4 linked regions of the Diceros bicornis minor genome follow. The protein of the gene in region 1 purifies or fractionates together with the protein of each later gene. This does not show direct contact. Links are inferred from orthologs where the notes say so. Each region holds a gene or a part of one and is shown on either strand. Other genes may lie near its edges.

Region 1 (7,323 bases):
AGATCAGAAGAGGAAGTTAACTTCAGTGGGGAAATCTGAAAGCCTTCAAGGAAGCAATGTCTTAAATATAAATGGACTTTCCATAGGCTGTGATGAGTGAAACAGGATATTCGCTCATCATGAGAAAGGTCCACTTGAGCAAAGATATAAAAAGGGATAGCGTGTTTGGGGAAGGGCATGTAATTTGATATGATTGAGGGGCTGAGAGGCGAGTCTCATGGTAGGCAAGCTTTGAAAAGCAGGTTAAGAACAGTCTTGGAATGCCAAGGTAAGGAATTTGGGCTTTACCCTGGGGCCAGGGTGGAGCATATGCAAATCTGTGTTTTGGGAAGATAATAAGCAGCCCCAGGAGGAATGGATGGGAACAGAAAGGTCAGTTTGGAGGTGGATGGAATTGTCCAGAGAAGAGATCCTGCTGGCATTACCTAGGAAGCAGGAGCTGGTGTAGAAAGGAGGGGGTGAATATGAGTGACATGACGAAGATGGAATCAAGACTTAGTGATGTCCCATTGCGTGTGTAAGATGACTGTTGGAGGTGTCTATGGACTGTGCAGGGCATCGGAAAGGAAGCAATGGCAATTGAAAGAGAGGTCAGGGTTGGAGGTAACAGATTGGGGGATTGTCCGTAAAAAGGTGTTACAACACATAAAGTAAAAAGGTGTTACAAACATAAAGGCGTTGCACTTCCCTATGGAGACAGAGTGTCTCAACCTCGGCACTATTGAAATTTTGGTCTATACAATTCTCTGTTGTGGAGAGGGCTGTCCTTTGCATTGTAGGAAGTTTAGCATCCTTGGCATCTACCCACTAGATGCCAGTAGTACACTCCGCTAGTTGTGACAACCAAAAATGTCTCCAGACGTTGTCAAATGTTCCCTTGAGGGCAAAATCAACCCGGTAGAGAACAGTTGCTCTAGGAGAGAGTATGGAGTCAGCAGAGAAGATGGCCAAGGGCAGAACCTTTGTGTTCTAAGAACACAGTCAGAAAGGAAGAGAACGCATTGGGAGAGATGTGGGGTGACTGTGTCACAGATGGGGTGGCCAGTTGTGTGACAGTCTACAAAGAGGGATTTGGAGATAAAAGAGGCCTTGGCAGTGGTGAGAGCGTTATGATTCTTCAGGAAGCAATTCCAGTTGAGCCTCCTGACTGTGCCTTTTCCTTGTTCTATAGCCTTTTCCCTGAGAGGTACAGGAGTAAACTGCCCACTTGGGCCATAAATAAGAAGACTGGGATATATACCACTGTACCCCAAAGTTTGCCTGGTTGCTTTGCAGGCTGTTAATTTTCTTCTTCCCTTATTTTCTCATTCCATTTTCTCTATTAGTCTCCTTTTTCATCTGTAAAGTGATTTAGCAGAAATATAGAAATATACACCTATATCATTTAATCCTAATAATAACCTTGCAAAGCATCTTTCATTCTTTTTTTTTTTGGTGAGGAAGATCGGCTCTGAGCTAACATCTGTGCCCGTCTTCCTCTATTTTGTATGTGGGACGCCACCACAGCGTGGCCTGATGAGTGGTGCATCGGTCCATGTCTGAGATTCGAACCTGCAAACCCCAGGCCGCCAAAGTGGAGTGCACAACCTTAACCACTAAGCCACCAGCCCCTTTCATTCTTTTTTTTTTTTTTTTTTTGTGAGGAAGATCAGCCCTGAGCTAACATCTGCCAATCCTCCTCTTTTTTGCTGAGGAAGACTGACCCTGAGCTAATATCTGTGCCCATCTTCCTCCACTTTACATAGGACACTGCCACAGCATGGCTTAGACAAGCAGTGCGTCGGTGCGCGCCCGGGATCCGAACCCCGGGCTGCCGCAGCAGAGCATGTGCACTTAACCGCTATGCCACCGGGCCAGCCCCTGCTCCTCTTTCATTCTTATTCCCATTTTGCAGATGGGGAAACTGAAGCTCCCAGAGGGAAGTGGCTTGCCCAAGACCACACAGCCAGGGAGTAATAGAGCTGATAAGCAGATCTTCTGATCACACAGGGACTGAGAACACTCTCCATCACGCTATGGTGGCTTCTTTGGCTGCAACTCCTACCACCTAGCATCTTTTCGTTACAACTACTGACACTCCATTTCTCCTGAGATAGAGCCTTCATTGACTGTAGAGGAATCAATGACTTTCATTTCTCTTCTTGTACTCTGCCCACAGGACTGTTTCTGCTCATAGCAGAAATGTTGTTCGGTGTCTCACTGAATGTCTTACCTTGTGAGGGTGTTAGCAAGATGGTCTTCTGACAAAGGGTAACATTATAATGTTTGCGCAGGTGAGGCCAAGCCTGCAGGGATTCTGCATGGTGAAGATGAAGGTGAAGAAGTTGCAGGCCCAACTGTGGGCACTTGGGAATCTCCCTGATGGTTGCTGGGTCTAGGCCAAGGGTCAGCTCCCTCAGGGACACCAATGTATGTCCAAGGCTGGCAGTTGCATGTCAGACCATAGTAACTCCTCAACCAGATTCCCACCCTGGGGTTCCTCTTCCATTTCTTCCTGTTCCCCTCAGTCCTCCTACTCTGGTCCTTTGTTCTTGGTACCTCTCATGTTCCCCTATCCACCACCTTACTTAGCATCTGGAATTCTTAATAATAGTAATCACAACAGCCACCATTTACTGAGGGAGTTTTAAGTGTCAGGCACAGACAGGGAGGTAACTGAGGCTTAGAGTGTTACGTAAGTCCATCCAAGGTCACAGAAATATTAAGGCAGATCAGCGTGTCTAAAGAAGTATAGAAATATAATTTGAGGGGCTGGCGAGGTGGCATAGTGGTTAAGTTGGCATGCTCCGCTTCAGTGGCCCAGGGTTCACAGGTTCGAGTCCTGGGTGCAGACCGACGCACCACTCATCAAGCTGTGCTGTGGCGGCGTCTCACATACGAAAAGAGCAAAATAGGCGTGGATGTTAGCTCAGGGCCAGTCTTCCTCACCAAAAAAAAAAAAAAAAAAGAAAAGAAATATAATTTGAGTCACATTTGTAATTTAAATTTTTCTACTACCCAAATTAAAAGAGAAAAGAAACAGGTGAAATTAATTTTATCAACTTTTTAAATTTAACCCAATATATCCAAAACATTATTTCAACAAGTCATGTAAAATTATGAATGGGATATTTACATTCTTTTTTACATAATAAATCTTTGAAATCCGGTTGTGTATTTTACTCTTATGTCACATCTCAATTCAGACTAGCCACATTTCAAGTGCTCAACAGCCACATGTGGTCAGTGGCTGCTGTATTGGACGGTGCAAGGATAGATCAAGGATTCAGACCTACCTCCACTTGGCCATGTTGTAGCCTTTCTAAGGATGGTGAGGATTGGGGCAGCCACATTCTCTGTGAAAGCAGGCTGGTACTGTCCACCAAAATTCAGGTCTGCAAAATATAATCATCTAATTTTATTAGACCTTTTAAAAAATGTCTAATTTGTGAGGGAAGCTGACATCTCCCCCTTGGAACTGGGATGGGACAGGAATGTTTGTTCCCTTCTGCACGTCTCTGTTACTGTTCTTCTGTCTTGATAAACACCATCCAGGAAGAGTGGATTTTCTCTGGCCTGGAGCCCGGTTGGTGGAAAAATCCTTTGCCCTGGGCCTCCTCTCTGGTTTATAGGGCAGTCCTCTGACCATTTCTGACTGGGCTCACCAACTCCCATGGTGGCCCCTGAAGGGAAATGCAGGATTGTTGAATTCTGGAAGGAAAGGAGCCATTATTTCCCAATTTGCACAGTGGACAGTCCTTCGGTCCAGGCACTGTGCTAGGCACATTACATGTGCTACCCTTTTACTGCTCACCACCACCCTCTGAGGTCAGCATCAGCACCTGCAAAACCCCAGAGAGGTGAAGAGATTCACTGGGGTCACGCAGCTAGTAACCCAGAGCTATCTGATGCCAGAGCCCAGGATCACAGCATTCCATTTGGGGGTTTTAGTGCTTTCTGTCCACCCATGGACATGGGAACAAGGGTTGTCCAGCAAAAAATGTTCATATCTGCATTCTGTTTCCATGTGAACTAGGCCTGGCAGGGTGCTTATGATTGATTTCCGTCTCTAAGAATTGGACTCAGATATTCAGGACATAAAAAAAGGAGATGGCTGCCCTTTCTATATCAGGAGGCCCAGCCTCAGGAAACCTAGGAGGGCTGCTTGATTTCTCTTGTTCCTGACGAGTTAAAAGACCTTTGTTGCCGGGGAGCCCTGTTGCTTTAAGCCTAAGCCCTGGTTTGGGAGGAGACTAGAAGGGCAGTGGAGGGTGTCCGCCTACCTAGGGGAACCTGTGTGAGGTGTGGCTGGAGCAGGCTCAGGATGAGAGGTGGACGGGGGCGGGCTGAAAGTTGGAGCAAGCAGGAAGTGAACCAAGGGCCGCCCCAGGAGGAAACAGACTAGGCAAGTTCTGCCGCTGACGGGCCCCAGCTGCTCGGAGACATGGTGAGTGAGCTGGGAACTAGAAAGGGGCTGATTTAAAGATGAGCCAGAGGGGGCTGGGGGCTGGGGATCGGGAAAGGAGAGTTGGTGGCAATGTCAGAGGGTTGGGCCAGCACTGACTGTGGCCTCTCTTCTTAGACAGCTTGGCTGCAAATAGCTCTGAGCTGCACGGGCGGGTGTTCCTCCTCCTTCTATACTCCCTCCCCTGACCTCAGTGCTGGCCTGGAGCAGTGCTTCGGTGGGTGGGCGTGGGGGATCCGAATTCCAGGCAGAGAGTTGCTGAGCAAGCGGCCCTTCCTTCATCTTCTCCTCCAGCCTGCCGGCCGACCGGCCTGCTGTTGTGACACTCCTGGGCAGCGCCTCTGCTGTTCCCAGTGCAGATTCCAGCCCAGCGGCGGGAGCTCTTCCCCTCTGCCTTTCACTTTATCCCTGTACAGAAACTCCCAAAATTTGTCTCTCCACAAGTCCAAGGAATTGGCTCCCCCCCATAAACATGAGGAAGAGAGCTAAGGGTTTGTAAAAGAACCAGAAATTGGTTCTTTGCGATAATCTAATTTGGCCCACACCCCTGGCCTGTTTCTGGAGGTCCTGTGGGTCAGAGAGGGAGGAGCTTGATAACGTTTTGCCTCCTTCTTTAAAAACCTTATCATGAAGCCTGAGGATGAGGCCTCAGCCAGGGAAGACTTGCCCTGTATTTCCCCCAGTGCCCAGGCTGCTGCTTTTATTTAATATCTGCTTCAGCAGCAGTGGCGTGGTGCCTGCGCATGGTGCTAGGTGGTGGGGAAAGCAGAAGTTTGTGGCCCAACGGCTCTCTCTCTTGGGGCCTTGTGAGGGACTTGGAGCCTAGTCGCTGTTGGCCTGGGTCACAGCAATTAGGCTGCCCAGGAGGCCCGAGGCAGAGCTGCTCTCCAGCTGCTTTCTTGGAAAGAGGGAGAGTTGGGCTAGGTGAGGGAATTCTGCTGGCCCCACAGACATTTTTAATAAGGAACCTGTGGGATCTGGGAATTGGTAAATGGTGGCGGGGTTTTGCATCGTGAGATGCCAGCTCAGCTGTCTGCTCTGACCCTCTCCGAGGAGCAAAGAAGCAGTGGAGAGGGTCTCAGTGGTGTGCTTCTTTTCCTTGTCAGGGACCCTGAGAACCCAAAAAGAAGTTTGAGCTAGTCTGTCTAGCAACAGCTCTCATCCTCTGGGGCTTAAAAATGCATTTATTTTTGATTACATGAGTGAGACGTGAAAACATTCTCTTTGTAAACAGTTCAAGCTTTACAGAACACTAAAGTCCATGTTAAGTCTTCCCCTCCTCTAGCCTCTGAGGCTATCAGTTCCTCCACCACTTGGCCCAATTAACCCCTGTGTTGCTGCCCAGGAGGAAGGCAGTGGAGGCGATGGAAATGATCATGTGCGGAACCTGCGGAGTGAGGTGGAGGGAGTCAAGAATATTATGACCCAGAATGTGGAGCGGATCCTGGCCCGAGGAGAAAACTTGGACCATCTCCGCCACAAGACAGAAGATCTGGAAGCCACAGTGAGATGGGGAGCTCACTGGGGGCTAGAAAAAGAGAGTGCGGGAGGGTCGTTGGGGGTTTAGGGATTGGTGGTGTTGGGGGCAAAATGAGCAGGAGGGAAGTCTGCCTTTTCACCTGTTTTGGGAATTGAAGTGAGCTGAGTCCCCACTTCTGATTCTACTCTACTCCACTGATTGGCACTGGGGTCCAGGGAATGTGTACAATGACTGTGGTTGGGGGGTAGGGCCTGACCCCTGGAGGTATTTTCTGAGACAGATGGCTCAGTCAGCCCGTGCATTCTTGGGCTTCTCTCCTGTGAAACCGATTTTCCCTTTGAAGGCTGCCCTTGACAACCATTTGGACCTGACCTCCCAGGGCAAAAATATTGGCTTTGGTGGGGCTGGCCCGGTGGCATAGTAGTTAAGTTTGTGCACTCTGCTTCAGCAGCCTGGGGTTCACAGGTTCAGATCCTGGGTGCGGACCTACACACTGCTCATCACGCCATGCTGTGGTGGCATCCCACATACAAAATAGAGGCAGAGGGGGCCGGCCCCATGGCTCAGTGGTTAAGCGCGTGTGCTCCGCTACTGGCTGTCTGGGTTTGGATCCCGGGCGCACACCGATGCACCACTTCTCCGGCCATGCTGAGGCCGCGTCCCACATACAGCAACTAGAAGGATGTGCAGCTATGACATACCACTATCTACTGGGGCTTTGGGGAGAAAAAGGGAAAAAAAGGAGGAGGATTGGCAATAGATGTTAGCCCAGAGCTGGTCTTCCTCAGCAAAAAGAGGAGGATTGGCATGGATGTTAGCTCAGGGCTGATCTTCCTCACGAATAAATAAATAAATAAAAACCAAAATAGAGGCAGATTGGCACAGGTGTTAACTCTGTGACAATCTTCCTCAAGCAAAAAGAGGAAGATTGGCAACAGATGTTAGCCTAGGGCCACTCTTCCTCACCAAAAAAAAATATGTATTGGCTCTGGAAAATCATCCTAGGGCCTTTGGCTTGCTCCAGAAGTTGTTAGGTAGGCTAGGGGTGGAAAGGTGTTAGAGTCTTGCTGAGCCGGCTGGAGAAAGCGCTGGAAATCACAAAGGCTAGGTGAAAGCCTTTGATCCGGGGCCCACTGCTAGGTGAAGGCTAGAATATGCCCCACACATCTTGCTAGATCTCAGTTTTCTCTCTCTCCAGCCAGCGGCTCAGGAAGGGAGTAACTCTAAAGTTCAACAAAAGCTCGAGCCTAAGGTTCCAGGTTCACGGCAAGAGTCTAGCTATGGCTTTCTGGGTCCTGTGTAATCTTGGATAGAGCTCCTTTTTCTCCCTGGGACTTAGTATTTCTTCCCACAACCTAACCTGGGAAGCATGGCCCAGGGAAACTTAATTTCTGCCACT
Region 2 (7,427 bases), on another chromosome or scaffold:
AAAATGGTAAAGATGAGTCGAAGCTAGTTTCTGCAGAGCCTTAAACACCAACCTAATAAGATTAGACTTATAAGAGAATTTTAGAGCTGTATGTAGAGCATAAAGTGAGGCCTTGAAGAGGTGATATGCTGACGGGCAAAATCTCAGGTGTCTTGCCACTGATCCTCATGTTCTCACTTTAGCCCTAAAAAAGTGGTTCTGAAACCTTGCTACATTCTGGAATAACTGGGGAATCACTACAAAACAAAAACAAACACAATTCCTGGCTCCCACCCCCAAGCATTCTGATTAAATTGGTATGGGGTTTGACCTGGACATGAGGAGTTGGGAAAGCTCCCCAGGTAATTCCAATCTGTAGCGAAGTTTGGGAACCACTGGCCAAGTGTTAACGGGCAACTTCATCAAGGTATCAAGAACACAGTGCCTAAAGTACTAGTTTAGGAAAATTAACCTGAACTCCATTTAGGTAAACAGTTGGGAAGGAGAGAAGAGTGGCAAGAGATCAGTAGATGACTTCTCCAGCTATTCAATTCTATAACCAGTCACCAGTATTTACTATCTGCAAGGCATAGGGCTATAAAGGATTGAACTATGGCAGAAAAAGACAGCAAAAAAAAGATGTCAAGAGATACTTAAAAAAAAAAAAAAAGGGCATTAGTGAAAAATCTGATATGAGGAGTGAAGGAAAAGTGGGTAATTAGTGTTTTCAGGCCTAAGTGACTAAGAGGATGGTGATGCCATGACAGAGACCAAGGAACTAGAATGGGGAAACTAAAAGAAGTTTCTAGACTAAGAACTGGGCCTCTGTTCTATCAGAAAAGCACTGAATATACAGTTAAATTGATATATGTATAAGATTTACTTTAAAAGACACAGGAAAAAAAAAAGTGTGGAGAGCAGAGATGAAACAAGAATGGCAGAATATTGATAATTACAGAAATTGAGTGATGAGTATAAAGGGGCTCATTATACTATTCCACATATATTTTTTATCTTTCATAACAAAACTTTTAAATAATAGACCAAAAAAAAGCCAACTAGAATATAATTTTTCCAGAAATGGTGTATCATCAACAAATAAGTTGCCCTAGCAGTAAAGCTGATTAACTTGAGCAAAGAACCAGTTTAGACAGTAATTACTCGCTACTTCTATTAAACAGTGAGCTTACTACTTGCTTTGATATGCCATTAAAATAGTAACTGCTACATTTCACTTCTCAACTTTAGAACACTACACAGGAGTAAAGCATCATTGACCGATGATTTTCAACAGCAGGAAGGCAAAGCTGTAGTCAAGTCTGTTTCTATAGGTTTTTCCAAGTCCCATTCCATACTCCTTTCTACCCTGCTGATCAGCAACCTACTTGGCAAAGAAGCTGACGCTAGCACAGCAGAGTTCCCCCACTGTTTCACTTTCAACAAATGAGAAAGCCACTAATTCAAACTACTTGAGAGTAACAGGAAAAATTATAAATGCCTTTTCAAAACTCACTGTGGAAGAGGCCTGGGGTCCAGTGATAGCTTCTGCCAAGCTATATGGATAACCTGGGGCCTCTAACTTATTTCTGAGCTTTATTTCCTACCTTATGTGTAAAGTGAGGGAGTTAGCTTCCAGGAGGTGGAGGGCAACTTAGCAACATGTATCCAGGGCCTTAAAAATGTTCATACCCTTGGGCCCAAGAGTTCCACTTCTAAGAAGTGAGCCAAGGAAATAAGACACAAAACAAAGGGGCAATCTCTGCAATATTAAAAAAACATAAACAAATCCCTAATATTAAAAAAAGGTACAAAGCGGGGAATAATTAAATTATGGTCATTCATATGATGCACTATAAAAAATAATGTTTAGAGTGAATATTTAGTGATAGGGAGAAATGTTCCCTGTTTTGTAAAACATATGAGTGTTTATATACATATACACACACATATATAAAGCAATAAGTTCATTTAAAAAAATCAATAATGGCTATTATTCCAAATGACTGAGTTAAATTTATTGTTTTCTCTGCAAATATTCAGTATTTTCTAAATTTTCCATCAGGGTGTTAAAATAAGGTGGAAAAAAATTAGTGTTAAATGAAGTAAGCTACCTGCCCAGATAACCTAAATCCCAGGGGTGCTAACTTTGATCTTGCAATCCATTCTCCTACTATCCAGACTGTCTGCCACTTAAACAATTATAAACTATATGAGAAGTACCAACATGAGGCATATAGTACAAGAACTTTACAGAGCTAGAATATGTTTTTAATTATGACAGACAGTGTCTGTCATCACTCAGTCCCTGGGACTTAACTGATGAATAAAGGACCGCTATCAGCTACTGTTTTACTGCAAAAGTTGCTGCCATAGAAACAGTCCTCATGATACTGACTCAGATAACGGTAAAATGCCTTAAAAACAAATGCATAATTTCCCTCTGATATTCCTAGAAGTTTTTTGAAGGGCCCACAAGTTCTAGGTCCTAGCGCCAACTGGTTACTAACTGGCTGGTGACCAGGGATTCTGAACCTCCGTTTCTCCACCTGTGAAATAAGGGGGTTCCCCAGATGGACTGGCACTGCACAAAAAGGTTACTTCGACTTCCCTTTCACAGGAGTCCAGGGAAGCCTGCACCGCCAGCTCCACAACCAGGATGGGCGGGAAATCTCCGCGGCAAGGTGCAGCCGGGAAGGGCTAAAGGAATGTTCAGAGATTCGACACCATTCCTCAGCTCCCCACGGGTCTACTCGGTCTCCCTCCTGGGCCACCCCGCAAGGACCGAGGGTGGCAGAATGCGGCAGAGTCCCCCTCAGCTGAGGAAGGGTCCTCGCTGCCCCTCCTCTCATCCCGAATGACCTCCAGACCGAACGCCTAGCGGTCGCCCGCTCCCCAGAAGCCCGGCCTCCCCCCACAGACTCTCCGCGCGGCCGCCCCCACCCGGGGCTCACCAGGGGTCCGGGGCCATTGTGCAGTCTCCGCCCGCTCCTCGGACACTTCCTGCTCGCAGCAGCTGACTACGGCGGCTCGCGCGGCTCATACTCCGCGGTTCCACCCGTGCGCGACCGAAACCTGGAGTTTGCGAAGGGAATCTACACTAGGGCCTCAAAGCTCTGATGAAGAAAGGAAAGCGCTGACCCAGGGAACAGTAGGTTGGAGCATTCTGCTCCCGCCGAGATGCCAACAGCTGGGCGCAATTAAAATAAAATTGTTGTTGAACAAAATCTAAGCATTTTCCCGGAAACGGGGGAGCGCCTCAAGACCTCTAGCAGTTACTTAAAATTTTCTCCTGCTTGAAACAATAACAAAAATAAACAAACAAAAAACTGGTTGTCATAGATGTACAAATGTATAAATTTACTAAAACTCACTTTAAGTGAATTTTATGATATGTAAATTATACCTCAATAAAGCTTTAAAAAATTTGTTTTATCCTGCTTCGAACAAGGGACCCAAAGAAGTAGCAATTACATACTATTTTATAGCAGCCTTCCCATCAAAGGCAATCCACCATGTTTGATTAATTTTTAGATGCCATTAGGTGCTTGATTATATAGGTACCAAAAAGGTCACAGACTCTTTATTTAGGGAGGAGGGAATTAGTTCTGTGCATTTAGTGCCCCCTAAATTTCCAGAGCGATAGAAAGGAAAAAGAAGCCCTCTTCTCGTTTCCGAGAGAGTAAAAGACCAACTCCGCAGAATGGGTTTCAGCGCGGGCGGGGATCTGGCGCGCATGCGTACGTCTGTTACCATAACGACCAAAAGACGCTCCATCGTCGGAGGCTGGGAGGAAAGTGAGCCGAGTGTCCGGGTGATGGAGAACCAAATTTCGCCCAAAGCCGAGGTGGCGGAGCTGGAGCTTGAGGCTGTGATTGGCTTCAACGGTGAGGCCTCGAGCATGTCTGGACTGGGTGGTTTAGCAAACCCGGGGACGTGTAGTGCCAACAGGAACAGTGAGACACCAGGTGGCACCTGGAAGGCAGTGTGAGACCCTGGCATGAGCCCTGGCCAGGGCCAACCGCCAGGGCCCCAGCCAGCCTCTCCTGTCCAAAGGCCATAGAGAGTCACTTCCTTGCTCCAAGCCTCAAGAAGGGGGATGGTTTTTGCCGTCACCTAAAAGAAACCAAATTCCTCTTCGCCGGGCCAGAAAGAAAGGATAGTTGTAACCCTTCTCCCACTAGGTCAGCCCTCCCTGGCTCTAAGCCCCATGCAGCCCGCAAAGCTGCCTGCCCTTCCGTAACCACCGGATTACAGAGTCCGTGTCGGCCCCCGGGACCAACTAACTTCTAAAATCCCAGCTGATGTACTGAGAAAGGGCTGGGGAGGGACCGCTTTAGAGGGTAATCTTGTCCTCTAAACCGAAGGAAGGATTCTAATGGTGAGCATTTCAGACCACGATAGAAGGCGAAGAGGACGCCAGGGGGAGCTGGAGGAGAGAGATACTTTGGTCAGAGGATGCCTGGCGGATCTGCTCAAATCTTATTTATGACTGCTTGTGGTTTTGAACGTTAAGGGGGAAAATGCTGTTTGGCTTTTTGTGAAGGATGAAAACAAGCAATTGGTTACATTTTAGAAAAAGCAAACCTTTTTTTAAAAGTACATTGTGATGCCTGAAAGCTTTAAAATTGTAATAATGTAGATACAGAACAATCAATGACAAATTTTAAGCACATTCTAGGACTTGGCTCTTCATTTTACCTTGATGTCTCTAATTGACAGTGGGCACTTAGTACATCTGAGAGATCAGCCACCTTTAGAGCCGGTTACAAGATCGTTGGTAAAGGATCTGAGTGCAGTTAGTGCAAAGGGCCACGCTGGGGACTAGTGTAAAGGCTCCCGCATAGAGCTCTGCGACTGAATTCATGCTGTTTGGTGGAGCTCTGAGAGTAAATATGTGGTCACTTCCATCCGGATGTCTTCCTTGACAATTACTACTTATCTTGGCCTTTTATTATTTTTTTTAAAAGCATACGCCTTTATTTTTTATTTTTTTAACTTTATTTATTTATTTTTTCCCCCAAAGCCCCAGTAGATAGTTGTATGTCATAGCTGCACGTCTTGCTGTATGTGGGACGCGGCCTCAGCATGGCCAGAGAAGCAGTGAGTCAGTACGCGCCCGGGATTCAAACCCGGGCCGCCAGCAGCGGAGTGTGTGCACTTAACCGCTAAGCCATGGGGCCGGCCCATCTTGGCCTTTTAGAATGGCCCAAATTGAATTGTTTTTACCTTCATTTTGTGACAATTTATATTCTTTTGTATAATCAAATATACATTTATTTAGAACCACTATATGCCAAGTAGTATGCTATGCACTGTGAATACAGGGATAAATCCATAGCCATACTTAAGAAGAGGAGTTTAGAAAATTGAAAAAATACAGTGAAACCAAAAGAAAAATCAGCCATCATTACATTTCCCAAAGATATCACAGTTAAACTTTTGGTGTGATCCTTTCAAATATACACTTACATATAAATATATTTTTTTAATAAAAACAAACTTATGCTGTATATATTATCTTGTAATCGAACTTTTTTTCCACTTAACAGTATGTCATGTAAATCTTTCCTTGGCAGTAAATATACTCTGTCCCATAATTTTTAATATATTTTAATATGATATTCTGTTGCACAGATGTCATAATTTATTTAAACAATGCCCTGTTATTAAGCATTTAGGATAATTTCCATTTTTTCCATTTATTTTTAAATGCTACAAAGAACATCTGCACAGCTAAATCTTTTAACTCTACCTTTTTTCCTTAGGTCAAATTCTGAGTACATCTTAAAGACTTTTGATGTATCCTCCAAAGGCCATATTATACACAACAGAAATGTGTACCAAAAAAAAAATATATGGGAATATTTATAGTAGCATAATTTCAAATAGCTAAAAACTACAATGAAAATGTCCATCAAAAGTAGAAAGGGGGGCCGGCCCAGTGGCGCAAGCGGTTGGGTGCGCGCGCTCCGCTGCGGCGGCCCGGGGTTCGCTGGTTCGGATCCCGGGCGCGCACCGAAGTACTGCTTGGTAAGCCATGCTGTGGCGGCGTCCCATATAAAGTGGAGGAAGATAGGCACCGATGTTAGCCCAGGGCCGTCTTCCTCAGCAAAAAAAGAGGAGGATTGGCGGATGTTAGCTCAGGGCTGATCTCCTCACAAAAAAAAAAAAAAAAAAAAAAAGTAGAAAGGACAGGGGCCGGCCCGGTGGCGCAAGCGGTTAAGTGCGCGCGCTCCGCTGCGGCGGCCCGGGGTTCACTGGTTCGGATCCCGGGCGCGCACCGACGCACTGCTTGGTAAGCCATGCTGTGGCGGCGTCCCATATAAGGTGGAGGAAGATGGGCACCGATGTTAGCCCAGGGCCGTCTTCCTCAGCAAAAAAAAAAGAGGAGGATTGGCGGATGTTAGCTCAGGGCTGATCTCCTCACAAAAAAAAAAAAAAAAAGAAAAGTAGAAAGGACAAATAAATTGTGGTCTATTCATACAACAGACTACTCTGCAGCAATGAAAAAGAATTAACTACAGCTACACACAACATGGATAGAGCTCACAATCATAATGTTGAATGAAAAAAGCCAGAAGAAAAAGAATACATACTGTATAATTCCATTCATTTAAAGTTCTAAAATGAGGAAAATTAATTTACAGGAATAGAAATCAAAACAGTGATTACCTTTGGGGAGATGTAGACTGGGAGAAGGCACATGGGGGACGTCTGGGGGGTGGTAATAATCTACTCCTTGACTTGGGCTATAGTTAAATAGGTGTATTTACTTGGTAAAGTTATTGAGTTTTCTGTATTTTTGTCTTCAATGAAAACTGTTTACTTAAAAAGTCTATACTACCTCTCAAAAACAAATAAGCAAAGCTTTATGAAAGCTTGGGAGAAAGATTCTATTCTAGGCTTGAGTGAAGTCAAGGAGGAGTTAATTCAAATAGTCTTTAAAGTTGAGTAGGAGTCAGTGAGTAAAGACTGAGAGGCAGAATATTCCAGATAGCAGGAATAGGGTGAGCAAAGGAGGAAGGTGGAGAGTGTGGTGCCTGGTTGGGGAATAGCAAAAAGCCTGGTGTGGCTTAAGTATCAAGGACTGACCAGATAACACAGCAAAGAGAGCCTGAGATTAGATTGTGGAGGCCTTAAACGCAAGGTAATTGAGTTTTGCTTTCACACAGAAACAAATTAGAAGCAAAAGCAAAGCCTTTTTTATCATTGTGCTGCTAAAACTCATTGTAGAGTTACATGATAGTTTATGAATTTTAATGAGGGTGTAAATATGTAACTGCACTTGACTCTTCTAGGCATTGTATTTTGACAGGAATTTATTATTTAAGCAAACCAGATATAGTAGTGTTGCTTATGAAAACATTTTATAAAGCTATAGTCATTAAGAGTTTGGTATTGACACAACAGTCACATTCTTCAATTGACTGGAGTAGATAAGCCCATGA
Region 3 (7,168 bases), on another chromosome or scaffold:
GTGATCATCACCCTCACAATGACCCTACGGGGGGGGGTATGATGATCCACTTTACAGGTGCAACTCTAAGACCTCAGTCCTATGGACGCCACAGTCTCACAGTGCTTAGGATAAGGTCACAAACAATGAAGAATTTTAGAGAACCACACATCCTCAGGGATGATGGAGGCCTTAAATCTCCTTGGTCACCTCCCCTCCCTCAAAGAGATGCTCAAATTCCTACAACATTCAACATCCCAGCAAGCTTCTTGCCTCCCTCCCAGACTTGAGGGACTACGACCCTTCCAGCCAGCCCATCCCATCCTCGGGCAGCTCTGACCAGTAAAAATGCTTTCCACAGAGTCCTAATTTCTACCCATCAACTTCACATCTTCTCCTTGTATCCACACAGAGCAAAGCTAATCTCCTGCGCATGACAGCCCTCCAGCTATCTGGAGGTAGTTATCACCTCCCCTCCCCCAGGGTTTAGAAAGATCCCACAGAAAGAGATTGCACAGGCTGCTCAATGTAAAATCAGTTTGATGCGAGTTAACAAAAGCCTTGTTAACAAACGCCTTGCCTTTCGTTGATAAAAGGAATCAAAGAGAGAAGATAGTAATCTTGTTGTAGTGAGGGCGATCTCTCTCCTGGGGGCCAGAGGAAAGGGGCAGAAGGTGAACTAGAAACCAAAATGTATATAAACCTTAACAACAGTCTTCTTGGAAAACATTAATATTTTAATATTGCCAGGAGGGGCTTCTGAGATCAACCCAACTCTTGGTTTTGCAAAGGGGGAATAGAGAAGCAGAGAAGTAAAGTGACACAAAACAACACAGCTATTAAGTGGCAGAGCCACAATTAGAACCCTTTCAACCTGCAGCCCAGTCCTCTTTGCACAGTGTCAACACCCATCTCCCTGCTCCAAAACGCTAGAGCAGCACCCATGACTTGAGAACAGCACCCCCATAATAACAGCACCGTCTATAGTCTCACTTTCACCACATCGCCAAGAGGTGCAGGGAGGAAACAGAGCATTAGCTCAGTTTTACAGCGGGTGAATGAGGCTCGGAGAAGCAAAGGGACTGCCTGGGTTCCCTGGCAACCTGAATTTATACTTGGAACCCAAAGCTCAGAGAAGACTCTTTGCTGTTTGTTGACAATGGGCTTTTGAAAGGGGCCGTGGAGTATCCTCCTCTATGGATTTCCTAACTAAAGGAAGGGAGCCGCCTCTGCCTGCTGTTCAGTTTTGCATTGTTTTATGACTGCTGCGTGTGCTGATAAGGGAAGATCTTCAAAAGCCATGGTCCTCTTTCCTTTCTGCCTCCCCAACCAGCATGCTACAGGGAAAGAGCACCATGAAGAGTGTTAGGAGTCTGGGTTCCTCCCCTGCTTGTGACCTGACCAGCTCTGTGACCCGCAGCATCCTGCCTACCCAGGCTTAGCTCTGGTTTCCTCATCTAGAAAAATAGGGGCCATAAATTCTGCCCCGTAACCGGGATGTTGTGAGGCTCAGATGACATGTAGGAGGCAGGGAGGCTCACCCCACAATCAGCAACTGTCCCTTTGCTTCTCTCACTTCCCCATCGCCCTACTACCCAGAGCAGGTGAAAGGGTCATGAAGGTCTCGCCCAAGACGAGGGAGGAGAAAGAAAAACAATTGCGACATCATCCCAGGAGTCCCTCACACTCATATGAGGCCTGTATTTTTCCAAGGAGCTTTTACAGTTCTCAGCATAATATTTACCATCTATTCGCCCTATATGTGTCATGCACCATCCAAAGGGCTCTGCACGCTCTCTTGCTTTTAGTCCTCACAACCACGCATTGTAAAGATGAGAAAACTTAGACTCAGAGGTTAAAGGAGAGCTAGTTAGCAGTGGAGCCAGGAGGCAACCCCAGTTCTATCCAGCCCCCTGCTTCCCAAAATGCTCACGAATCACTGGGGAGATTTGTGAATAATCAGATTCTAATTCTGTAGGTCCAGACTGGGGTCTAAGCTTCTACATTTCTACCAAGCTCCCAAGTAGATGGAAGACTTTGTATCAAGAGCTAGATTTTACATTCCATTAAGACAGAGCCTGTGTCACCCAATCCCCAGGGCTTAGCACAGGGCCTGCCCCCTAGACAGCACTCAATAATTATTTGTTGAATGAGTCAATGAATATCTAACTCAAAAACTCACGTTTGACACTTTTCTATATCGAGGGTTATTATGTCATTTGATCTCATAACAAATCTCTAAGGTATGATCATCCCCATTTGACAGATAAGGAAACAGAGGCTCAAAAGAATAAGCAGCCTAAGGATTTACAGCTTTTGTGCGGCAGGGCTGGAGGCGGTCTACCTTCAGATCCTTTGCCCTATCCAGCTGTCCTGAGGATTCAGGAGAAATTAATAATTATAGACTGCCGGATGGCGAGGAGCTGCACCATCCTGGCACGTGACCAGCTCACAGCTCCGGAGGTCACCCAGGAGCTTTCCGGGGGAGAGGGCAGCCGGCTCGGGAGACAAGGAAGGAGATAGAAGGCTGGTCCTGGGCACAGTGCCAGGCTGCAGTGGGTAAGGGCTGAGGTGACCCCTGACCCCACAGAAAGCTCCGCTAGGCCCAAGCACCCCGCGCGGACCCCAGCTCTGGACAGACGCTGTCATCCAGGGAAATCGCAGCCTAGCCAGGAATCACCCGGCACACGACCCCAGAGGGGAGGGGAGGCTGCGGAACGCGCGCGGGATGCCGCTGGGGCTTGGGGAGGGCAGGCCTCGCGCTCGGCCCCGCTCCAGCGCCGATCTGGCGAAGGTAGGGAAGCCCCTCTCCCGCGCAGCTGCACCCCCGGCGGGACCCGGCCCCGGGGGCGGCGGACTCACGGCTTTCAGCTGCTCCAGCCGGTCCTTCATCCTGCTGCCCCGGCGCCCAGGTGAGCGCGTCCCAGGTGAGCGGCCGGAAGACGCAGCCGGGCCCGGCCAGGGCGAGCGAGCTGGAGGCGCAGGCAGAGGAGGGCGGCGGCCGCCGGCGAGGAGGAGCGTCCCAGGCCGCGAGAAGCTCCGCCGCGCCGCCCCCTCCGGCCCCGCCGGCGCCGCGCGCTCCGAATCCGCCTCCCGGGCCGGCGCCGGCGCGCAGCGCTGATCCGCCCGCAGACCCGCCCCTCACCTGGGCCGCGCCCCGCGCTCCTCCTTAAAGGGCCCGCGCCCCGCCGCCCTCGGCGGCCCTCCCTCCACCTCCCCTAGCCCGGGTCCCTCGAGGGACCAGAGAAATCCGCGGAGAGGGTCCGGCACTGGTAGATGCCGCCGCAGGGCCGAGGAAGAGCGAGGGGGTCTGTTTGACCTCAATTCCATCCTTTCTATTCGACAGCAATTCACTACCTGTGCCAGGCTCCGTGCTCGGATCCAGCCTCAACAGACTCATTCGTTGCTAAACAAAGAACTCTAAGACGGTGTGTTTTGTGCTATAATAGGTGGGAGAAAAAGCAACTAATTCCGCCTGGAGGAAGGGCATTCCAAGTCACGGAGTTTGAACAGTGTGGGGGACTGCATATTGGATCTGAAAGAGGACGTTCCTAGAGGAAATAACCAGAGATGAGGTGGGACGGGACGGGCTGGGACGAAGCATTTGGATTTCATCATGTTGGCAATCGGGACTCCGCAGAGAAATGCGAGCAGTTCAGTGTTGAAGTCAGAACACCTGCCAATAGCAATTTGTATAACTTTGGGAAAGGCGCTGTTTCTCTAGAGGACTCCGTTTCCATATCAATAAATCAGAGATAACACCCAATTCACAGTTTGCTGTGAGGCCTGGGTGACAGAGGAGGGGTGACTGATTCGTCACCTATAGAGCAGCGTTGTGAGATAGATGTTTGTATTGGAAAGCGTAAGCCATTCTCATTTCCTACGTGGTGTCAAGATCCCAGGTGGGTGTACCCTCTGAAAAGGTGGGCGGGTTCTTCGCACTGCCCCTCCCTGTTTATCCCCTCTCCTCTCCCCACCCCTACCCTCTCTTCCCTCTTCCTTGTTTGCCTTCCTTCTTGGGAACAAATGACATATCCAGCAGACATATGCGGCCGTCAATTCTCAAGTCAGGAAGAGAAGGTGCTCTATGCATTCAGGTCACAGGACTGTAAATATTTTCATAATTCTAACAGAACTTTGCCCTCTTCTGCGATCTGAGTGCCTGCTCCATGCTGACTTCATTGCCTCCCATAAAGACACCGTCTGTACGCGATCGGGAAGGTGGAACCCTGCCCTTCTCAGCCCTGATCCTCTCTCTTTAGTCCTGGAGGCTTCCTTCTACCCCAGGCGCGCACTAGGTGGAGTCTCCCGTCCTTAGTAAAGGGAAGGAAGGCTACTCCGCCCCCTGGTGGTCCTAAATGGAAAAGGTGAGTAAATCAGAAATCGCACATCCCACCTCCTTCCCTTAACAAATTTTAGTTAGTGGGGATAGCTAGGTCCTCGCGCTTCAGGAAAAGAGATTCTCCTTAGGGAGACAGATATGTGAACAATTCTTTACATTACAGGTCTGAAAAGAACCATAGGAGTCTGTACTAAGGATCAAGGATGACCATTCAGCCTCTGTCTGAACACATCCAGGGCAGAAACACCCTAGGCCTCCCGGCAAAAGATAATTGTTTTTAAAAGGATAAAATCATGACTCTCATACAACTATAAAATGAGCACACATCAAAGATTTTATTTAACTCATTAAGTAACTAGGGAATCCTCTTTTGGGTTCAGAGGAGACCCCAAAGAGCAGATACATTTATATAAGCAACCAGGAATTCTGAAATGAATGTGTTAATAAATGTAAAACTAGCTTCTGGGTGTCAGGGAAGATGAATTGCAGCTCCACCAGGAAAATTTCATTTGCATCTCTATGAACAAGAATCATTTGCATTACTATCAGTTTTCTACAATTTACAGAATTGTAAAAATAGCTACAAGACCATCAAAGGCACAGACCGTTATAAAATCAGATAACCCAGAAAGGTGCGTTAGACAAAGCCTAGCATGCCATAGACACCCACTCATCTTCCTTTTTTTTTTTTTGCCATTTTAATTTTTTCACAGTTTTTCCAAACACTCTTAAGGAAGCTCCTTCCCTGGTTGAACAGTTCCAACTGTTGTTAAAAAGTTTTTTGTTAAACAGAACAAAAATTTTCCTCTTTGTAACTTCCACCGCTATTTCTTGCTTCTTGCCCCTGTCTAAACATGTAAGAAATTTAATCTGTCCTTCACAAGATGGGCTTTCCATGAAGGGAGAGTTGTTATGGGGCAGCAGAACAATTGCTGGACACATAGCCAGGAGACCTGAGTTCTAGAAGCAGAGTTTCTGCCACAAACCGGCTGTCACTTAACCTCACACAATCTATTTTCTCATCTTTCAGATAAGGAAGCTGATTAAAACTAATGATTCACAGACTTTTCGAGATCAAGAATATCACGTATCCTTTATTTTCATTCGTGGATCTCTTGTTTTGAAAGATTCCATATCCCTAACAGAATATATTTACTGGGTAATAAGAAATTTGGTTTCCTCAAACTCATAGATACAGAGAACAGACTGGTGATTGCCAGAGGTGGGAAAGGGGGGTGAGGGCAAAACCAGTGAAGGTGGTCAACAGGTACAAATATCTGGGGATGTATTCTACAGCATGATGACTATAGTTAACAGTACCGTATTGTATATTTGAAAGTTGCTAAGAAAGTAGGTCTTAAAAGTTCTCATCACAAGAAAAAAAATTTGTAACTATGTGAGGCGATGAAGGTTAAGATGAAGGTTAACTAAACTTATTGTGGCAATCATTTCACTATATATATATATCAAATCATTACATTGTATACCTTAAACTAATACAATGTTTTATGTCAATTGCATCTCAATAAAACTGAGAAACAAAAAAGAAATTTGGTTTCCTATGAGAAGATGTTTCTATGAAGAAAAAAAATGGCCTTTTGATTAGCCTATGTGGCAATAACAGAAATGACTACATGATTCCCTTAAACTTTTTAAACGTTGAAAACAGGATAAAGAACTCTTTCAACTGCAGCTGGATCCAGGACCCCAGGAAGGGAAGATCAGCAGAGTTCTTTTATTCTGGCATTCTTTTGATGGTGGTTATTATAGACTTCAAGCCTTCTTTAAAACTCCTATTAGGTATGAATCCTATGTCGTTGATACTAATATATTAATATTTGCTCATTCCTGACAGGCAGAAGTCTGGATCCAGTACTGGATCCAGTACAATATACTGAAGAAAGTCAAGTTACTGTGGGACAAGGGACGTGGGCAAAGGGAGTCCATGGCTGGTGAGGAAGACTCTGATATTGAACCCAGGTGGACTATGGGGTCTCCATGTAGGTGGACAGTGACTTAAGGTTCCAGGATCAGTAGGAGCCCCTTCTCTCTGATGTATTTTCATTTTTCTGCCCCACAGTAGTACTTGCTTTTCCACACACTAGATCTTAGTTCAGCCTGTTTTCCCATTAAACATAGTCAGGATTAGTTCAAGTGTTTGCATTTTGGTTATAAATAAATCAGCCAACACTTAATTTCACCTTTACAAACAAACCAAAGAGAGAATCTTGGGATTTGGGGGCTCCACTTCCCTCTCTCTCCTTCCTCTAAGCCTATTTCTTCCCCACTGGAGAAAAGGACTGAGCCTCACCTCATCTGGACCTCCAGGGCCTGCTGTGGAACAGGCGAGACCACTTTCTGTCTGGTGTACGTTTGAAGCACTGTCCTTAGGATGTGGTGTTCAGTAGAAAGAGATAAGCGGAGCTAGAGAATTGGAGGGAAGATCCTTTCTGTCCCCCCACAGCAATTCTTCCCCACTGCAGGGAGGATGGAGAATAACCAGGATGAAGAATAAACTTCCTGACTTGTAGTTTTCCCCCTCTTAAAGTTTGTAATAATTATTTATTGCTGCGTAACAAATTGCCCTAAAACCTAGCAGCATGAAACAACAAACATTTATTATCCTATAGTTTCTGTGATCCAGGAATCCAGGTGCAGCTTAGCTGGGTGCCTCTAGTTCAAGATCTCTCACAAGACTGCAATTAAGGTGTTGGCTGGGACAGTCTCATTTCATGGCTTGACTAGGGAAGGATCTGCTTCCAAGGTCACTCACGTGGTTGTTGGCAGGATTCAGTCCTCAAGTGCTGTTGGACTGAGGGCCTCAGTTCCTCACTGGCTGTTGGCTGG
Region 4 (7,529 bases), on another chromosome or scaffold:
AGGCAATACAGTGTAGTGGTTAAGTGCCCAATATTTGGAGGCATAATGGTTTCAAATCCTGACTACTGATTACTTAACTTCTCTGTGCTTCAGTTTTCTCATTAAATAAGGATATAGTGCTTACTTCAAGTGCTGTTACAAGGATTGAGCTAATTCATGCAAAGCATTTAGAACTCTGGCTGGCACACAGTGCTCAATAAAGCTATTATAATTTTTCACAATAATTATTAAATATCTCTCATGTTTTTGACTTGGGAATCAAAATCCAAGCAAGATCAATTTTTTTAAAAACTGCGATTTTTAGGGGCTGGCCCAGTGGCGCAGTGGTTAAGTTCGCACGCTCCGCTTTGGTGGCCTGGGGTTTGGATCCCAGACACGGACCTACGTTCCGCTTATCAAGCCACGCTGTGGCAGTCGTCCCACATATAAAGTTGAGGAAGACGGGCATGGATGTTAGCCCAGGGCCAATCTTCCTCAGCAAAAAGAGGAGGATTGGCAACAGATGTTAGTTCAGGGCTAACCTTCCTCACCAAAAAACAAAACAAAACAAAAATTGTGATTTTAGACTATCAAAGAAGTGTCACAATGTAAGGCCTCAGTAGTCATGCAGGAATATAACGTGTGTATGTGTGTGCATGTATATAGAGGGGGCAGGGTTGCTTTAAAAGGCAGACAGGAGACAGGTTGTGAAGGGCTTTGTACACTATACCAAGAAGTGTGGATTTTATTTTATAAGCATCATGAGGCCATCTAAAGGAAATCTCAGTTGTCAAAACATTGTTAAAATAAATTTAAAACAAACTTTAAATCCAAGTTACAGAACTCACAAAAATCAACAAGATGAGGGAATTTCAGAAAAATATAGAGATCAGTGATTTAAATATTTTAGTTGCAATAAAACCTAAATTGAATCAAAATCAAACTGTCAGTGAATTTAAATGAGTGCAAACAGAACCTCACCTCCAACCCCAATACCACAAAAAGAACAGTACATGCTGTTTCCTGGCTCCACAATCCACTTCCTCCAATTGTTGGAGGCACTGGATCCATCTGTTTCAAGCCTCTACCCACCATGACAAAGAAAAGACCAGTCCTTGTCATCAACTCCTCTGTCAATCTACAGACCTGGAAACAAAACATGGCACTGGAATAAAAAGTTCAGCATTCTTGAATGCAAGCAACATCATATATTATAAATGCTAACTAACACATACAATGCAGAGTACAAATACACCTAAAAACAGATTTCCAGAATGTTTAGGACATAGGAACCAAAGAAGGAAAAGAAAATGCCTTAATTCAGAAGAAAAAAAAATGAAAGGCAGCTGATTTCACAAAAATGTCAAAGAGCAAACATCCTCTTTTTCTCTTTTGCTATTACAATCTACTTTCATTTGGTAAAACCAGATAAGTAAGTTTGCTAGAACTGCGTTAACAATAATGAATGCCATCACAGGGCTCACAGAATTTTGAAGTTCTTAGAGTTTAGGCAGTCCAATCTTTACTTCATTTTAAAAATGAGTAGATTAGACCCAAAACAGTATTTTCCAAAGGGCAGAGCAACAACAAGAGATGATTTTAGCTGTTATATAAGCAATAGTTATGTACTTAATAGTTATGTATTTATTATAATGTGTACTAGAAAAAATATTATAAAATACACAAAACTAGAAAGTATTATAAAATACAAGACCAGGATTTCGTAGATTATCACTTTGGAAGAGGGTAATGTTCAAAAAAAGTCTATTAAAAATACGAAGTAAAATAACACAGACGATCCTCTAAAAGGCAAAATTTATGATGGTGGTATGGTTCATGATAAATGAAGTACTGACAGCTGTTCCACGAGCAACAGGGCCTGTTTTGTTGTTTGTTTGCTTTCTTCTTGATTTAAGCTTGTGTTCTGAATGATTAGAAAAAATGTGACCTTTAGTTAAGTGAGCTTGTTAGTATACTTAAGTTCTTTTAGAGTAAAAGAAACAAAGGCTAAGATCCATACAGATATTCTACTGTTCATAGGAAACAGTGTAATAAGGTTAAGAAAATAATAGCACAATAAGTCAGTCCTATTCTGGAACTAAGATAACAGCAACTTTCTAGTGCATATCCACATACCACAAGCACTTAAAAAAAAAAAAAGCCCTAGCAACAATGATAAATATTTAAGCTGTAGGCTAAGTTATATGATCATTTTATTTACTTTCACATGACCTGTCAAAAGAGAATGGTAATGTGAGGTGTTTCTCCTGTTTCTCCTAATATTTGCTAGTATTTATACGAATGCGGTCTTTTTCATTACCTCTTGCCAAAGGAACAAATGACAAGGATCACTGAATGCCTTAGGCATCAACTTTGCTGGTGGCAAAAATATTAATTTTTAAAAATTTTACTATGAGACATTTTAAGATTAGATCTCAGAGTATTCTAGCTAATGATGCCTCATGCATTTCAAGTGTGGTATTTTCCAGGCTACGGAAGAACGTGAGAGAACCAAGTAAAACAGGTAAGATTGTACTTTCCTAGAAAGCATGGACTCGCCAATGCCATGAACCTCAGAGATCTTCTTCAGACAACTAATTCACAGTTATCTGATCACTGTGGTCACCATACAGTCTATTAATCCCGACCACAGCAAACCTGTGGAGGTCGGGGGTGAGGGAGTGAGAGTTTACCTCCGCTCGGTTTCAAGAAAGGGTCCAGAGAACCACCATCCCGCCACCCTGCCTGTGCCGGCCTCTCGACAGTCTCCTGGCGCCTCGCGTCCTCGCTCCGGGCCCGACCTGCCCAGTCCGAGCCACAGCCCCGCTCCTCCCCTAAAGCCCGATCCTACCAACTTTTCAACCGTCATGATATACTCTTTCTCCTTCGGATACGATCCCAACCTTCACCTCGGCCAGCTCCCTCAGCCCCACTCCTGGAGACTCACCACGCAGTTCGGCCACTCCTCTGCGGCCTCGGCAGCTCGGACACCCCCAGACTGGACTGGGACCTGCCCCTTCTTGCGCCTGCGCACGCCGGCCTCACACGCCTGCGCACTTCCCCGGCGCCGCGGGTGCGGCCACACCCCTGCAGCTGGAGCCAATCACGGTGCGGGGGGTTTAAATCTCCCTGCCACGCAGGCGAGGAGCCTGGGGACTCACCCGTTAACCGGATAATTCGAGTCCCGCTTGTAGGTGGGAAGTGTTCAAGCAACAAACATTTACATGTACCGTACTGAGGGCAAACCGCCAGGCACTGTGCGGGATGAACACTGAGGAAAAGAAAGCGAATAGAATGCCTTCCCTGCCCTCTAGGGTCTTTTGATCTGTCTAGACTGGGAGATAGATATGTAAATAAATTATAGTGGATAGAATATAGTGCATGGCATATAGAAAATCCGAGGCGCCGCTGGCGCACAGTGAACACAGTGCCTTATTCTTAGGGGTGGCTGGATGGGTTCCCGGGGGAAATGACTTTTGAGTCATGAAGGATAAGTAGGAGTTCCCCCGGAAGTCCGGGAGGGAGAGAGACTATTTTCCAGACTGTGAGAACAGCGTATGCCAAGAAGAACATAGCGCCTTCTGGAAATTACTTGTAGTTCATCCTGGTTAGAGGTTTAGAGCTCATCGTATATCTCCAGGTGAAGGGGGAATAAGCTTTAAAAAGTTGGCAATTGCCAGATCTTGGGAGGTCTTGCATTTTTGGACTAGTGACCCTGCACTTTATACTGTGATCACTGAGAGCTACTGAAGGGTTTTAAGCAGGTCTGGGAACTCTTCCAGGCACCTCTAAAAATAAAGCACAGTGCTGGGGGGGAAAAATGCTTTAAAGAGGGAATATTCTATTCCTAAGGGGTCAAGGAAGATGAAGCCTGAGAAATATCTTTTGAATTTAGTAACACAGAGATCATTAGTGATCTTAGCGAAAGCTATCTGTTGGGATGAAGTTGAAAAATAGATTGCAGTAGTTTGGAGAGAGAGGAGATACAGAAATGGGGACAGGTTGTAGAAAGCTTTTGGAAAGTTTGGCCTTGAGGGTAGGAGGGAAAGGGATGACAAGGGGTCAAAGTTTTTTGTTTCTATTTCTTGGATTTTTTGTTAGAATTAAGGCAGGAGAAACTTAAGCATGATAGGGAATATGCAACTGAGAAAAAACAGTTGAATAAAGAGAAGTGCTAGTTAGTAGGTAAAGATCTTCAGAGGGTAAGAATGGAGGCAATCCAGAGCACTGATGGGGGGACAGTCTTAGAAGAGAGATCTTCTCAATTATAATGAGAGGAAGTATGTGTCTGTAAGTTTGTATGTTTAGTAACAGAAAGTTAAAGAAGTTCTCATCTGATCACCTCTGTTTTCTCTGTGAAGTAGGAGATGAGGTCATCTGCTGATAGAAAAGGAGTTGGGAATTTTAAGAAAGTGGAGAAGATTTGGAATGTTGTAGAAAGTGATAGAGCAAATTGACCAGAGGAAAGTAGTAGAACTGGTAAGCCATGTTGAGGGCCTGTATAAGATTGGTAAAAATGAACTCACCAGTTTCTGCCCTCCTGCATAGATTTCTCAAGCAGTAATCACTTCTTGAGGTAGAAGTGGAGAAAATGTATGGTTGAGTTCATTTAGCGTTGGGATGGTCACTGGCATAATGCCATGGTTCTCAACCAGGGACATTTTCCTTTTTTGGTCTCCAGAAGACATTTGGCAATGTCTGGAGACATTTTGATTATCAAGATGGTGGGTGGGTGGGGATGTAAGGGGGCACTACAGGCATCTGGTGTCCAGGGATGCTGATAAATAGCCTAAAATGCACAGGAGAGCACAGGAACTATCTCCAAAATGTCAATAGTGCCAAGGCAAGGTTGAGAAATCATGATCTAGGATTACCTTGACGCTCACCAACAGCTGACCTTGGTCTTCTACAAGCTTTTCGTTGGACTATGGTCCAGAGCTTATAGGGTAAAGCAGTTCTTCCATTGCTTGCCTTTAAAGGAGAGTAGAATGAGCAGCATACCTCAGACCTTGAGTGTTTCAAGGACTTGTGATGTCACAAACACAGAATGGGAATAGTTCCTCAATCCTCTAGAAGCAAATCTGGATTTACACAGAGATGAAGGGAGCTGCTTACTTTGATCTGAGGCATTGAAGGTCTTGTTAAACATAGATATTATTAGAAGTTCAACAATATAGGAGGAGTAACACTTCACAAATTATCAACCTTAATGTAATTTGGTTTATCTCACTAGTTTTAGTCACTAAAATAAGATCCCGAGAGAATGGGTATGGGCTAAGTTTAATATATATAATTAAGATAAATTAATATTAATAATTAATATAATATAAATACATTAAGTATTAATAAGAATGTAATTATTAGTATTAATGGATTATCTGCTCTTTGATAGGCACCATTATGGATAGGCACTTGACCTATGTTATGTCATTTAATCCTAGCAACACCTTGAGAGATATCCTAATTTTAACTCTGAGGAAAGTGAGGTTCCAAGAAAATTTGTAATTTACACAAAGTCACAAAGTACTAGTATCCAGGTCAAAAAAATTGGAACTCAGGTCTGTGTGTTCTAAAGCTCTTGCACCTTCCATTAAGCTTCAGTAAATTTTAGAAGGAAGGAGTGGTTGGCAATGTAGCGGCAACAGTTGCCACCGCCTAAAGGGAATGGTGGAGACAGGAAGAGACTAAGAGCAAGAGCGAGGCCCGGAAAGAGAAAGAGAATGAAGAAGGAACCGGGAGGCTGCTCACAGGAGCGTGCAGCGCAGCGGACTAACTTCGCAAGCCTGCCTGCCTTTTGTCTTCTCCCATTCTTTTAGAGTACATAAACCCTTTTCCCCCTGTGTCCGTTGTTCACTTTCGTGAGTTCAAATAAAGCTAGATTATTGAGAAAGGCGGACCTCAAAGGAAAAAAAAAAAGAGAGGGGAGCTCTACGGCGGCGGTGTGCGCTTGCGCGCTGGCGGCGGCGGCGGCAGCGGAGCCCGGAGGGGAGCCGGTTCGGAGCGGGCCGCCGGGCCCCAAACCGAGGGGGCGTCTGGGGCGTCAGGGAGCTCCCTCGTCTGGGCCTCGGCGGCCTGATGGAGTAAGAGGGGTCGCCTGTGAGTGTGAGTATCGAGGGGCCGAGCTGCGTTGAGGCGTATCGGAGCCCGAGGGTCCTGGTGGTCTGCCCCTTAGGGAGGTTTGGGGCTGCAGGACGCGGCCGGATCTCTGCTCCTGCAGGCCGCGGTGCAGGGGCAACCCGGTCGTCCCCTCTCCCCGAGCCGCGCGGGTTTACGGGCAGGCGGTGCTTTTGGCTTCGCGGTACAGATTCTCGCGGGGGCGTTCCGGCTCTGCTCCCAGCCGGAAACGTGGCGGCAGAGCCTTGACCTTTAGGGGAGGCCGCTGACCTCCTTCGGCCTTTGGTGCCGCAGGGAGCCCATAGAGTCAGGGTGCTTAAAGGCCTACGGGTCTCCGGCCAGGAACACCTTTCGACCACTTGTGACTTACAGCCTCCGTTCTTTTTCCTTCTTCCGTCTTCTCTCCTTATGGGATGCGTCTTAATAATAGCTGTTAATTATGGAGCGCTTACTATGTGTCAATTTAGTATTTAGTCCGAATCTGGGTGCATAATTATGGAGAGGAAATGCTTTGCACCCCACTCCCCCTTCAATCTGCTCGATTTAATTATCTTTGAGAGTCAGAACCATCTTTTGAGATTAAGCTATCTTGTTGGGAAGTTTGAGATTTCCATGACTCTTAGCAATTTGGGACTGCCATCCTGGTTAAGGGAAGTTCTTCTCTTACCTACCAAGAGAGTGCTTTATCCACCATAATGGTTTATATCGAATTTACTCAAGCCAGAATAACTTTGGAGCACTTACTAAGAGCTTAGTACTGTGCTAAACCCTTTAGGAAATCTTATAATTAGTTTTAAGCTCTTTCTCAACTTTAGTCGTGAATCAAATAATGGAAGATAATATTTAGATTCAACTAGGATTTATTTAGCACCTACTTCACCTACCACAGATACACTCAGGTCTGTCACAAAAAATTAATGAGATATTGTAACGGAAGGCGGTTTTTTGGAGCACATTTTAGATGAGGTCGCTGAGAGTTTGATGGTAATTTGCTTAAGCTAGTTTAGCTAGGGTTAAGTAGTGAAATGCACATACAGTGCCAAAGCTAATCTTTTTGCTGCTACACCAAGTTAGATATTTCAAGCACTTCTGCTGAGAAGCAACTGCATTCCAATTACAGTTTGTAGAGAACTATTGAGTCTAGAAAGTGGTAGCAGCCTTTAAAGGTACTTACTAGATGGTTTTTGAAGAGAACTTCACAGTGGCTTGGAAGGAGGTAGAAAGTGTGAAGGAGTCTGATCAGGTTAGTTTGGAACCAATTGCTTTGATTAAAAGGAACATATTTAGAAAGGAAAAACTGTGAATTGTGATTGTTGTAGATCTAGGTTAGAGCACATGTAGTTTGAAGACTACTGTAGAAGAGAAGCAAGGAATAATGGTGGGTGCTAGCCGACTTGGTTCTGGGACCAGGAATGGCTCAGTGAGAAGTGTACATA

What was found.
Region 2: the proteins of VAMP8 (region 1) and STX8 purify together in Homo sapiens (co-immunoprecipitation; 5 studies listed by BioGRID and IntAct, with this or other methods). This does not show direct contact. The link is inferred for Diceros bicornis minor from reciprocal best matches to the Homo sapiens genes VAMP8 and STX8.
Region 3: the proteins of VAMP8 (region 1) and STX3 purify together in Homo sapiens (affinity purification with mass spectrometry; 4 studies listed by BioGRID and IntAct, counting the BioPlex papers as one, with this or other methods). This does not show direct contact. The link is inferred for Diceros bicornis minor from reciprocal best matches to the Homo sapiens genes VAMP8 and STX3.
Region 4: the proteins of VAMP8 (region 1) and SNAP23 purify together in Homo sapiens (affinity purification with western blotting; 3 studies listed by BioGRID and IntAct, with this or other methods). This does not show direct contact. The link is inferred for Diceros bicornis minor from reciprocal best matches to the Homo sapiens genes VAMP8 and SNAP23.

Annotation. Positions count from the first base shown.
Region 1 is NC_080751.1:4,416,372-4,423,694, reverse strand, and holds the start of VAMP8 (vesicle-associated membrane protein 8), read left to right. Parts: upstream 1-4,323; 5' UTR 4,324-4,423; coding exon 4,424-4,426; intron 4,427-5,789; coding exon 5,790-5,948; intron 5,949-7,323. UniProt on the Homo sapiens protein: SNAREs, soluble N-ethylmaleimide-sensitive factor-attachment protein receptors, are essential proteins for fusion of cellular membranes.
Region 2 is NC_080757.1:9,074,353-9,081,779, reverse strand, and holds the start of STX8 (syntaxin-8), read right to left. Parts: upstream 3,001-7,427; 5' UTR 2,948-3,000; coding exon 2,931-2,947; intron 1-2,930. Other genes in the region: CFAP52 (cilia- and flagella-associated protein 52), read left to right, coding at 3,794-3,863. UniProt on the Homo sapiens protein: Vesicle trafficking protein that functions in the early secretory pathway, possibly by mediating retrograde transport from cis-Golgi membranes to the ER.
Region 3 is NC_080770.1:13,470,611-13,477,778, forward strand, and holds the start of STX3 (syntaxin-3), read right to left. Parts: upstream 3,014-7,168; 5' UTR 2,872-3,013; coding exon 2,842-2,871; intron 1-2,841. UniProt on the Homo sapiens protein: Potentially involved in docking of synaptic vesicles at presynaptic active zones. Apical receptor involved in membrane fusion of apical vesicles.
Region 4 is NC_080744.1:40,079,853-40,087,381, reverse strand, and holds the start of SNAP23 (synaptosomal-associated protein 23), read right to left. Parts: upstream 3,013-7,529; 5' UTR 2,927-3,012; intron 1,126-2,926; exon of another isoform or gene 961-1,125; intron 1-960. UniProt on the Homo sapiens protein: Essential component of the high affinity receptor for the general membrane fusion machinery and an important regulator of transport vesicle docking and fusion.